Linked DNA regions of Cricetulus griseus. The protein of the gene in region 2 purifies or fractionates together with the protein of the main gene of each other region. This does not show direct contact. Links are inferred from orthologs where the notes say so. Each region holds a gene or a part of one and is shown on either strand. Other genes may lie near its edges. The genes, in order: Eya3, Fhl2 and Cnot1.

What was found.
Region 1: the proteins of Fhl2 (region 2) and Eya3 purify together in Homo sapiens (affinity purification with mass spectrometry; 3 studies listed by BioGRID and IntAct, with this or other methods). This does not show direct contact. The link is inferred for Cricetulus griseus from reciprocal best matches to the Homo sapiens genes FHL2 and EYA3.
Region 3: the proteins of Fhl2 (region 2) and Cnot1 purify together in Homo sapiens (affinity purification with mass spectrometry; 3 studies listed by BioGRID and IntAct, with this or other methods). This does not show direct contact. The link is inferred for Cricetulus griseus from reciprocal best matches to the Homo sapiens genes FHL2 and CNOT1.

Annotation. Positions count from the first base shown.
Region 1 is NC_048595.1:20,577,890-20,581,538, forward strand, and holds part of Eya3 (eyes absent homolog 3), read right to left. Parts: intron 2,857-3,649; coding exon 2,673-2,856; intron 244-2,672; coding exon 107-243; intron 1-106. UniProt on the Homo sapiens protein: Tyrosine phosphatase that specifically dephosphorylates 'Tyr-142' of histone H2AX (H2AXY142ph). 'Tyr-142' phosphorylation of histone H2AX plays a central role in DNA repair and acts as a mark that distinguishes between apoptotic and repair responses to genotoxic stress.
Region 2 is NW_023276807.1:5,338,683-5,343,037, reverse strand, and holds the start of Fhl2 (four and a half LIM domains protein 2), read right to left. Parts: upstream 2,928-4,355; 5' UTR 2,617-2,927; intron 1-2,616. UniProt on the Homo sapiens protein: May function as a molecular transmitter linking various signaling pathways to transcriptional regulation. Negatively regulates the transcriptional repressor E4F1 and may function in cell growth.
Region 3 is NC_048596.1:171,908,562-171,912,210, reverse strand, and holds part of Cnot1 (CCR4-NOT transcription complex subunit 1), read left to right. Parts: intron 1-478; exon of another isoform or gene 479-722; intron 723-891; exon of another isoform or gene 892-2,125; intron 2,126-2,963; coding exon 2,964-3,096; intron 3,097-3,649.

The DNA.
Region 1 (3,649 bases), on a different chromosome or scaffold from region 2:
AAGTGGACACAACATACAATAACATTATCTCTGCAAATTGGAGACATGCACTTGACTGGAAGTAAGGAAAACAGAATAGGTAACTCCAGTGAGTTTCTTCACATACTTCTAATTCGCTGTCCTGGGAGGAACCGGCATCAGCTTTCCTCTTGCCCCGGTTCTTGACAGTCATATTCTTCCTGGACTGATCATCAGCGTCTTTATTTGGTGTAGTTTGGGACAAAGATGGGCTTGTAGATGAATCTATTGAAAGGAAAAGTAAGATACAAACTGTCAGCAGTCACAAGCTATGAGACCCATAGTAAGGAGAGGGGTCAGCATGAGGAGCAATAAAAAAACAAAATAAAAAACCAGGGTTTAAAAATAAGAGAGAAGCCCCATATACCACAATCTGGCTGGGAGTCTGAAGAACTGCCTACAGAGACAATATCTTCCTACATCAATGGTTCGACCTTCCTAATTTGGGGGCCTTTAATACAGTTCCTCATGTTGTAGTGACCCCCAAACAAAAAAATTATTTTCATTGCTACTTTATAACTGCAATTTTGCTACTTTTATGAATCTTAAAGTAAATATCTGTGTTTTCCAATGGTCTTAGGTGACCCCTGTGAGGGTCACTGGACAACACTAAGGGCTTATGACTGACATGTTGAGAATCACTGGCCTTCAGAGACAGTATCTGACTTCCTAAAGACATCCTCAAAGGGCAGCGAACAATAAATTGTGCCTACTTATGGCCAGAGTTTAATTGTACTAGCACCCTTCTCTCATCCTTAAAGCTAAACAACACACCTTATGAAAAGCACTTACAATTTCAGTTATGAGGAAAATGCCCTTGACTGAAAGATGGCTTAGAGCACTTGTTCCTTTTGCGGAGACTTGGATTTAGTTCCAGCCACTACCTGTAACCCAGAGCCCCTGCACCTCCAGTTCCAGGGAGCCCGAAGCCCTCTTCTGACCTTAGAGGGCAGCAGAAAAGCACTGGTATACATACATGTAGGCATATAAAACACACACAAATAATATAAATAAATCTAAAAGAAAATTTAAAGAGAAATAAATCAGCTTTACAGTTTTTAAAAAAATTATTATTGTTATTTTATATGTATGTTTTGCCTGCATGTAAGTCTGTGCACCACACATATGCAGTGTCCCAGGAAGTTAGAGAGGACATCAGATCCTATGGAGCTGATGGAGTTCCAGACAGTTGTGAGCTGCCATGTGGGTGCTGGGAATTGAACCCAGCTCCTCTAGAAGAACAGTCAGTGCTCTTAACTGTGGAGCCATCTCTAGTGCAAAATAGAAGAACTAATCTCTAACCTTTGGTTTTTTTTTTTTGTTGTTGTTTTTTTGTTTGTTTGTTTTTTGAGATATGGGCTCACTATGTGGACCAGGCTGGCCTAGAACTCACAGATATCTGACTGCTTTAGCCTCCTAAGTCTAAGTGTCAAAGGTGTTTGCCACCACATCCAGCTTTTTTTTTTTTTTTTTTTTTAAATTTATTATGTATACACTCTTCTTCCTGCATGCCAGCCAAGGGCATCAGCTCTCATTCAAGGTGGTTATGAACTACCATGTGGTTGCCGGGAATTGAACTCAGGGCCTCTGGAAGAACAGTCAGTGCTCTTAACCACTGAGCCATCTCTCCAGCCCCACATCCAGCCTTTTTACTTAATATTTAAACTTTACTTAAAATTTAAGTTTTGTTTGTTTGTTTGTTTATTTGTTTTTCAAGACAGGGTTTCTCTGTGTAGCTTTGGAGGCTGTCCTGGACCTCGCTCTGTAGACCAGGCTGGACTCAAACTCACAGAGATCCTCCTGCCTCTGCCTCCCGCCTCCCGCCTCCCACTTCCCGCCTCCTGCCTCCTGCCTCCCGAGTGCAAGGATTAAAGGTGTGCACCACCACCTGGCAAGTTTTGTTTATTCTTTAAACTTTATTCTTTGAGCAATGTGGCTTAGACACAAAATCATTGTAAAGCCACCTACGTGCAGTTCTCCCTTGAGGAGTCACAGCTTCGAAGCTGTGTAATCTTTCCCAAGCATTCTAATTCCCACACTTACACTTGTGAAGCATGTACTCTCCCTGATTTTAACTAACTTACAAATTTTGCTCACTTTGGCTGATTGTAAAGTTCTATAGCATAATAAAGAATTAGGTTTTATGCAAATGAGAAGTCCCTAAGTAGAAGGGAACTCTTCAGGCTGCTGATGGCAGTACAGGCAGAGCCATGCTTCCCAGTGCCACTCACAAGCAGTGTCTAGCCTTGTGAGTCAAATGTTAGGACAACTGGGAAAGGACTGTAGCTGTTCTTGGAATCTTAAGGAAATTTAAGACACAGAAACTCCTGCTCTGAGTTCCTAGCAGGAATCTAAGACATGCCTGGATTAAAACTGGAGCCCTGCAACCTCCAACAAATATACCCTTAGTCTGAAGAGCCCTGGTGAGTGTGTTACACTTACTGGGAGGGCAGAGTATGCACTAGAAACATCTTCTCACTGTTGGGACTTTTCTGTTCTCAGCGTCTACAGACATTCTGCCAGTTTCTCATCAGTCTGTTTGCAAAGTTTAAACTTGGAAACGGAAACCAACTTATCCCAGAACAAAATCATTTTTACCATCACTTGGAAACGCTGTTGGATGCAGTGTCCTTAATCCAGCTTTCAGCACTCACCAGAGGGAAGTCTCTGTGTGGCTGGTGCAGGTACCATAGCACTAGGCTTCTCTGTCTGGTACGTGGTAGCTGCTAATGCAGTGTTCTCAGCATCACTGTTAGTCTGGCCTGTGACTCCAAAGCTGGAGCTGGGGTAGCAGGACTGGTACTGATTCTGTCCAAGGATAGTATAGGTAGGATAATCCTGTGGACCAAAGGGAGGAAAACACGACCATTACAAGAGGTATAAACACAAGAGGCTTTTTCTTCTCTATTAGTCATAATTATTTTCCTAAAATATTGTCTTCTTTATCTACCTACCTAGTCGTAGGTCCCAAGAAATCAATGATTTTCAAAATGCAGACACCTGAGTACAGATGCATCATCTAAGTTGACAAGTGAGTTTGGTCAAACACACTTCAGAAGTAAGTAGCTATAGACACTAGCCTTAGGAGACCAAAAAGAAAAGAGCCACACAGGCTACATGGAGGACAGCTAGGAATTCAGCAAAAACATTGGACCACTGTGGTGGCATGTGAACTCAGCTCAGTAGACAAACAGGAGGAGCAATGCAAGTTTGAGGCCTGAAATATGGTGTATCCCAGAACAGCAAAGGTACATATAGTGAGGCCCTATTTCAAAATAACAACCCATCCACCCAGAACAAAACAGCACCCTCTCAACCCCAAGGTAATTGTGCACTTAAGAAAGTACAGACACAGCAAGAGTAGGGCAGTGAGACGCAGAAGGTCAATCAGAGAAGGTAAACTGTAGCCAAAAAACAGTTGGTGGAGACAGCAATGATCGTAGCAGTTGCTGCAGAGAAAGTCTGAGCATGTTAACAATTAAACAAACTTGAACACTGAAGATGCTATAGTGATCATCTAAGCACATGTAATATAACAGTGATCAACACCAAATCACAGATGGGCAGAGTGGTACAGCCTTTAATCCCAGCACTTGGGAGGCAGAGGCAGGTGGATCTCAGTGAGTTCCAG
Region 2 (4,355 bases):
GGCCTTCTGCTGACTAGGGCCCCTCTCCTAAGTTCTTTCATTTTTATTTTTTTACATAGTGTGTACATGTCTGCATGAGTGTGTGCAGGTGCTCATGAAAGCCAGAAGAAGATATAGGCTCTTTTGTAGTAGAAGTTACCGGGGTTCATGAATGGTGTGTCCAACTCAAGCCCTCTGTAAGTACTCCTAGCTGATGGACCAGCTCTCTAACCTCTAGACTTCACTCCCTACCTCCCAACATTTACCCAAGGATGACCAAGCTTCCAACACAAGAGTCTTGAAGAAAAATCATATCTGAACCACAGCTGCTTACAAATGGCTAAGCTGGTGTGTGGTAGTTTATATTAGAGTGATCCTTGTGGGCTCATATGTTCGAATGCTTAGCCACCAGGAAGTGGAATTCTCCGAAGGATTAGAAGGATTAGGAGGTGTGGTCTTGATGGAGGAAGTGTGTTGCTAAGGGTAGGCTTTGAGGTTTCAAAAGCCCATGCCAGACTCAGCCCCATTTTTCTTCCTGCTACTTGTGGATCATAAAATAGAACTTTCAGCTACGTCTCCAGCATAAGTCTGCCTGAGTGCCACCATGCTCTCTGCTGTGACAGTGACAGTAATGGACTAAGCCTCTGAAACTGTAACCAGCCCTCTACTAAATGCTCTCTTTTATAAGAGTTGCCTTGGTCGTGGTGTCTTCTCACAACAATAGAACAGTGACTTGGACGTGGTGTGTTAGGTGCTGGGTAGCCAGCCCTCTGTGCAGAACAGGGGGAGAATCCACTCCTCTTGGCTTTCTGAATTTTTTTCTTCTATATCCTGCTACGCATTTCTCTCTGAAGTTGAGATAGTGCTTAGTATTGAAGGCATTTAACAGTCTTAGGTAAAAACATGCCGCATAGGGCCTCAACAAAATATTCATACAGTGAGGCCCAGTACAGAGTAGAAATCTCCAGATACAGCTCTCAGGGCTACAATCTACATACTGGGAAACTTTGGACATCAGAGTTACTTCGACCATTCTGTTTCAGTTTTCTTATCTGTGAACAAGAGGCTATAAAATCTACATATGCTGCATATAATATGCAGGATATATATGCATCTATATACACACATATGTGTATATATGTATGCTGGGAAAGCGTCTTTGTTATCTGATTCTCTCGGAGGAAACTGAGCAACCAATAGATTTTGTGAATTAGGCAAGGCCATGTGGGCTAAGAGGTCCCAGTGTTAATTCTGGCATCTTGGTTCTGTTCCAGGTGCATCTGCCAACCAAGCTTTCTACACCTATCCATGTTGTATCTGTTAGGCCGGACAGCAAGGAGGTAGAACAAAGAGAAGCCAGGATGGGGGCCACCAATGCAACACACTATTCTGTTAAAAACTAGGAGAGAGATGAATCTGAAAAAAAGAGTGAGAAAAATGACTGTTTTAAATTTGGTTTTATTGACCTTTAGGTAATGGGTTGGGAACTCTAAGCCTTAGGGCAAATTGGGTTTTTTTGTGGGAGGGAGAGGGGGGCTTGAGGAATTCGTGGTCATTCCTGTAATTGCAACACTTTGGAGGCTGAGGCAGGAGGATAGGCACCAGTGTGAGTTCACCTGAGATGGCATGGTAAACTCCAGGCTTTCCCAGCTACAGAGTAAGGATTTATCTCAAACGATAACCACAGTAACACTACCACAAGCAACCTTCCTCACATACATTACTGCAAAATATACATATAAGCAGAGCAACACCACGACATGACACACATTTAGAGTAGTGTTTTGAAGACAATCTCATCATGACTGTAAGCCCAAATTGTAGTTCATTACTTCCTAAAAATATGTGCAAGAAAGTGCACGCCACAAGTTGGCTTTGCCAAAGACAGCTGCATATTTCATAAAATGCCTGCTTCGGTGAGTTCCAGAGACACAACTGGAGACTATCAAGCAAATACGACCAATGCTTCATTTAAAACCAGAAACAGCATTGAAGCGTTTCTTTCCACAAGACATCACAAGACTGCAATCTATCAGTTAGAATTCTGTTCATTTCAAAGCGTTATTATTATTATTTTTCTTTAACCCTATGGCTCAGGTTTTAATTTTGTGGATGAGTCAAGATGTGTGGTCACAGGCAAACTCCCATTTCTTCCCAAGGGAAATGCCTGGCCATCCACGTGCTGACCAGCGTGTCACCTCCCTTCCATAGACTTCAGAGACCAGTTCCACTTTGCCTCTGGGGGAGACTCATCGTCTCTCACCACCTGGCGGCGACTCACTCCTCTAGGGCTGTAGCCCTCTCTCTGGACACCAATGGTCCCCTTCCCCACCATTCCCAAGTCAGACTCTCCTGTGCTCGGGTCCCTAGCACTCATGATTCTAGTCCTCTCTGCCCCGCATCCGCTCTTCCTGTAGATCAACTCCCCGGTTCTGAGGTCTCCCCTTCAAGACTCCCCTTCTTCTCTCATGTTTCCGGTCCACCGTCTCCATGACTCTCCGTATCCCCTCCTTCCCCTTCATTTCGAGTCCCCTTTCTGAGTATCCCCTGCCCAGCTAGGCTCTCCTCTCCCCGGATCTACGCTCTCCGTTTTAGGTCCCCATCCCTGGTGTCCTCTGCAAAACAGGGCTCTCCTACCTCCAGGATCTGTTCCTCCCGTTTTGGGTCCCTACAGGGGTGCGGTCTGCACAGCCCTGCTCGGGTCTGCCGGGTCTCCGCCCCACGGTCAGGGTACGCTGGCCACCGGTGTCTCTCCACGCGTGCTAGGGCAGCTGTCTGCTGGCTATTCTTGTGTACCAGGTCCGGCTGTGGACTGGGCGGCGGCAGGAGTACTCGCGCAAGACGGGGCCGGGGTCTAGGGCACTCAGAGGACTGTTGCGCGGTGGTGGTGGCGGCGGCGGCGGCTCAGCAGGCGGAGTGCAGCCGGCTCGGCTCCCGCCCTCGAGAACCCCCGCCGAGTCATTTGACCATATAAGGACACACGCGCAGGGGCGGCGGGCTGGGCGCGCGGGCCAAGGGAGCAGGGCGCGGTGGCGAGCGCCCCTCGATCGCCTGTCGTCGCGTGTTCCCCCCTGCTGCAGCTGCTGCGGACCCTTTGTTTGACTTAACGTTCTTCTTTACTTCCCGGTGTGTGGCGCACAGAGTCAAGCCTCCCTGCGCCCTGGCCTCCGCTCCAGGGGCCAGTGGCAGTGCAGTGCAGAGGGTTGTGGCCGCTGTCACCTAAGGGCAGAATGACATGGGTCTATTCTCACCAGGACCCTCCTCTGGGTTGCTGGGTCTGCGCCTGGTCGCCGTCTGGGCAAGCATGGGTGGGCCATTTGGAGATTTGGGGGAGGAACGATGTGTGCGTAGGGCATGCACTGGCATGGTAGTTTCCCCGGCCTTCCCTTGCAAATACCTCTCCGTGGTGGAATGAACCCAACCAATGACGTAAAGAATCTTTAATGACTCTGTTCCACCAGGTAGCTGACTGAGAGAAGGTTGAGAGCTGTTTAGCTGTTGACATTCAGTGGCTCCATGCAGGCAGAAAGCAAATGAAGGGCTTAATGTGTCCTTCATGCTCAAAGCCAAGGTCTTCTGCACAGAGCTGGCCCTTAGTAGGGACAGGAGGCAATGTCCAACATGGTGGTGGAAGGTACCCGCATCCCCACGTCTAGGAAGGGCAGCATCTGCTCTTGAGTAGGTGGGGGGCCCACATGCAGTGGCAGAGGCAAGGACTTCTCAGTGCTGTAACCTGACCAACAACTTAATGGAAGGATTCGTTTGGCTGCAGGGTTTATGAAGGAATACAGCTGGTCATCACTGAGATGGCATGGCCACTGTGAGAATGTCAAGTTGGTTGGTCACATTGCCTTCTCAGTCAGGAAACAGTTTAATTTCCCCTTTTCATCCAGTCTGAGAGGCCAGCTCTTGAGAGGTGCTGTCCACATTTGGGGGTCAGTCTTTGCCCCTCGGTTAAACCTCTCTGGAACTGCCCTCAAAGAGGTGTGTCTCCTAGGGGTTCCCAAGTTCAGCCAATCGACTGAAGGACCATCACAATGGTTTTGGGTGTAGGCATTCTCCAGGGGAGCTCGGGGTAACATATGTTAGAGAAGGCAGGGAGAGCTGTGGGATGGCTTTCTTCTCATTGATACTTCCTGACTGGCACCACAAGAGGATCCCCATGATGGAATCTCAGAACATGAGAGGCAAGGGGGGTCACATGACCTGTCACTTACTCGGCATCATATATATATATATATATATATATATATATATATATATATGTATATATATATATGGCCTCCCCAGGATGCTCAGCCCCTCTATGTAAAGTTAGTTATCTCAAACTGGGTGTTGGTGGCACATCCCTTTAATCCCAGCACTCGGGAGGCAGA
Region 3 (3,649 bases), on a different chromosome or scaffold from region 2:
TATCTTTACAACTACAAAATGATTTCACACTGGGAGAGTGTGGGAACATTGAATTCATTTCAACATAGACTCTGTAGCATCTATCTGTTTTATCCTCTAAACGGAAGAATTTGCCCCAAACCAACAACAGTGTCCACCACAGAGGAAGCCCATGGGAAAATCAGGGAGGACAGAAAAGATGGAAACATAATTCACCCACTTCTCTATTACATTTCCCCGAATCCTCTTTGACTCCTAGTCCCGTCTAACTTAATGTCTCATTGGCCAAACAGTATTTTATTTAACAATCAATAAAATAAATATACACAGAACATTCCCCATCACGCTTCCCCTGCTAGGAAAAAATAAAACAATTCCTAAAACTGTACCTTAAAAATACTTTGACGTTTTAAGCAGTTAATTCGTATCCCAGACCTGAACAGTGGAACACAGAAGCTCCCTGAAATCAGCCCCAAGTAAATATGGCCATGAGCAGACATCATCCTGCGTATACCTGAGGCTGCAAGGGGTGGGCGGGGGGTGTCATTCTCTACATTTTCAGAGTCAATGGCTGCTAATGGTTGGTTTGGGGGCTTAATCTCAAGTGGGTATTTCTCAGCAGTGTCTTGAACTTCCTTGGCAATTCTGTCCATCCAGTCTATTAAGTCTTTTTCAAGTTTCTTAGCTTCATTCATGATCCTTTCCTGACGTTCATTCAACTGAGACAGGAGGTCCAAGTTCTTTTTTGGTTTTTCAAAACAGGGTTTCTCTGTGTGGCTTTGGAGCCTATCCTGGCACACGCTCTGGAGACCAGGCTGGCCTCGAACTCACAGAGATCCGCCTGCCTCTGCCTCCCGAGTGCTGGGATTAAAGGTGTGAGCCACCAACACCCGTCCAGAGGTCCAAGTTCTTATACATTTGCTTCACACCTAAGCAGGCTTCGGGGGACCAGGTCTCAGACTCCTGCTTCCTTGGGGAAGTCTGGTCGGACATGTATCGGTCAAAATTCTCCTGACTTAAATTCAAAGACTGAGCCTCTAATTTCTCAATGAAAGCCACAGCACAGCACAGGTTGGTGAAATAGTAGCCATCTTTGCCAGTCATAAGCCGGCTGGGTTTGCAGAAGCGAGTGGTGTACTGGATGTTGGACTGCAGCCGAGGTGGGGGTTGCCCTTCAGGAGGATGTAGATGAGGGTGGGCAGGAAGTCATCAGCTGAGGCTGGCTCATTCTTGGTCATCTGATGGCATTGAAGATGTGCTTGCTGCACGTGATGATGCAGGCTAGCTTGTCCCGAGGCACACGCTTGAGTCCATCTCAATGATGTCTGTGATCGCTTTCACCACCATGTCAGACACGTCAGGGATTTCCTCATTGACAGGGACACAGAGCATCTGAGGTGTCACCCAGTGCAAAGCCCTGATCCTCTTTTGAATGGCAAGCTCTTTTTTCTCATTATCAGTAGTCTCTGGGCAGAACACAAATTTATAGAGACGGGTCATAATGTGCTTTTCCATCTAATCCATTATCTGGAGGCACTTTTCCACGAGTCTGCATTCTTTCAGCCACATTCTGGTATAAGTCCTGAGTACATTCTGACTGTTCCTCAATGCTTAAATCCCTTTTGTAATGCATTGCTTCCAAGAACATCTTCATCTGTTTATAGATTTCTTGGCCTGTCTGTGTCTTGAGAAAGTCTATGAACTCTTTAGTTATTCTATCCGTCTCAATGCTGATTTGCCTGTTTATGGAGGGTCTGGGAGCTTTGGCTTCCTGAATGTCTGCCTTCTTGGATCCAACCCTGGAAGAGGCATTGAAGAACTTCTTCACTGTGGTGACCTTGTGGGTCTTCTCATTGGTTTTCTTTTCCTCAAACTTGGAGAAAGTGAGGGACTGGGCTCCTTGGCTGCTCTGACTGCTAGCAAAGGCCTCTTCCTCTTCCCGCTGGCCTTTCTGCTAGCTCCCAGTCAGTCCTCTTGGATCTGCTTCTGGTGGGCCTTGTGGTACTCCTCCCTCTAGCACTTAGAATAGAAACCCTGCCAGGCAGGGGTGCCCGTAGTAACTACATCCTTTCTTGCATAGGAGCTCAGATTGAGCCACATGAATTTCCCAGCGTTCAGACTTCAGGCTCATCTTTCTGGTCCGCCCCTCCTCCGGCATCCGACAGCCGCTCCCAGCGCCACTTCAGTCACTCTGCTCCTCGCCCCACCCCTCCACAGCAGTTTTCTAAGTGCTAGATGAAATAGAATGTTTTAGCTGGTTGGATGGTGAGACAGTGCTGAACTAGGTCTCCACTATTGAGACATTAAAGGAAATCTGTAGAATGTAAAATGGTAGCCCTCCCTCCCTCTTAATTTATGTATTTGCATTGTTGTTTGCCTACACGAGCATCTGTGAAGGGTGTTCTATTCCCTGGAACAGGAGTTTACAGACAATTGTTAACTGCTGTGTGGGTGCTGGGAATTGAGCCCAGGTCCTCTGGAAGAGCAGTCAATGCTCTTAAACCACTGAGCCATCTCTCCAGCCCCTTAAGAATTTCAGTAAAACATTTTTATTAACAGGTTAAGCACAGTCTTTTTATAAAAACAAGTATGTAAGGCTGGATGGTGGTGGGTGCATGACTCCTGAATTCTCTTGGATCTACAGAATTCCAGGACAGCCAAGACTACACAGATAAACCCTGTCTCAAAAAACAAAAGACAAAAACAAGTGTGTAAGAGTTTCGCTAATTCATAACATGGAAAGTTTTGCAAATAAAACCTACAGAAGCAAAAACAGTGGGATCCAGAGAACCACTAGTAAACCACAGAATTAGAATAACCTTCACAGATTTTCATGTCATCCTTGCACAAGGCCATGCTGATTTTCTTATTTGTGTGGTTAAAAGTGAGTTCCCTGGTATATCAGTCCCCTTCAGAAACAGAACATTTGTCTCCCATATTGGCCTTTCAGAGTAAACCCAAAATCTCATTTCCTTCATTTTTAGGCCGGTATCTTTTCTTAAATGCAATTGCAAACCAGCTGCGGTACCCAAACAGCCACACTCACTACTTCAGCTGCACCATGCTGTACCTTTTTGCTGAGGCAAACACTGAGGCAATCCAGGAACAGATCACAAGGTAAGAGATCATTGTCAAGATGCCTTAAAAGGGCACTATGGACTTCCCTTTAAGGTTTTAAGGAGGAGAAACTAGGAGCAAACTGTTTTCTGTTGTTTAATATGCATATGGTACATAGTACAGTGAGGTACACATACCTTAAAGATTTTAATGTATGTTAGGTGTGGTGGCACACCCCTTTAATCCCAGCACTCGGGAGGCAGACAGATCTCTGAGTTCCAGGATAGCCAGTGCTACACAAAGAAACCCTCAATAAAACAAAAAAGATTTAATTTACCTGTTCACCTCAATAAATACTAGTGCCCATTGTTCTCAGATGTTCACAACATCTGAACTGTTGTGTTTAATGCATGCTTGGATGACAAAGTACCATTTTGTTTGTAATTATGTCTAAAGCTGCAACAAAGGCTTCAGTCCTTAATCTTTGCCCCAAGGAAATAAAGAACACAGCATTGCAACTAGCAGGTCACAGTACATGAATGTTTAAGCCAGCACTTGCAGCCACATAGGAAGAATTCCACTCATTTACATATGCTGTAGTATTGTTAAAAAA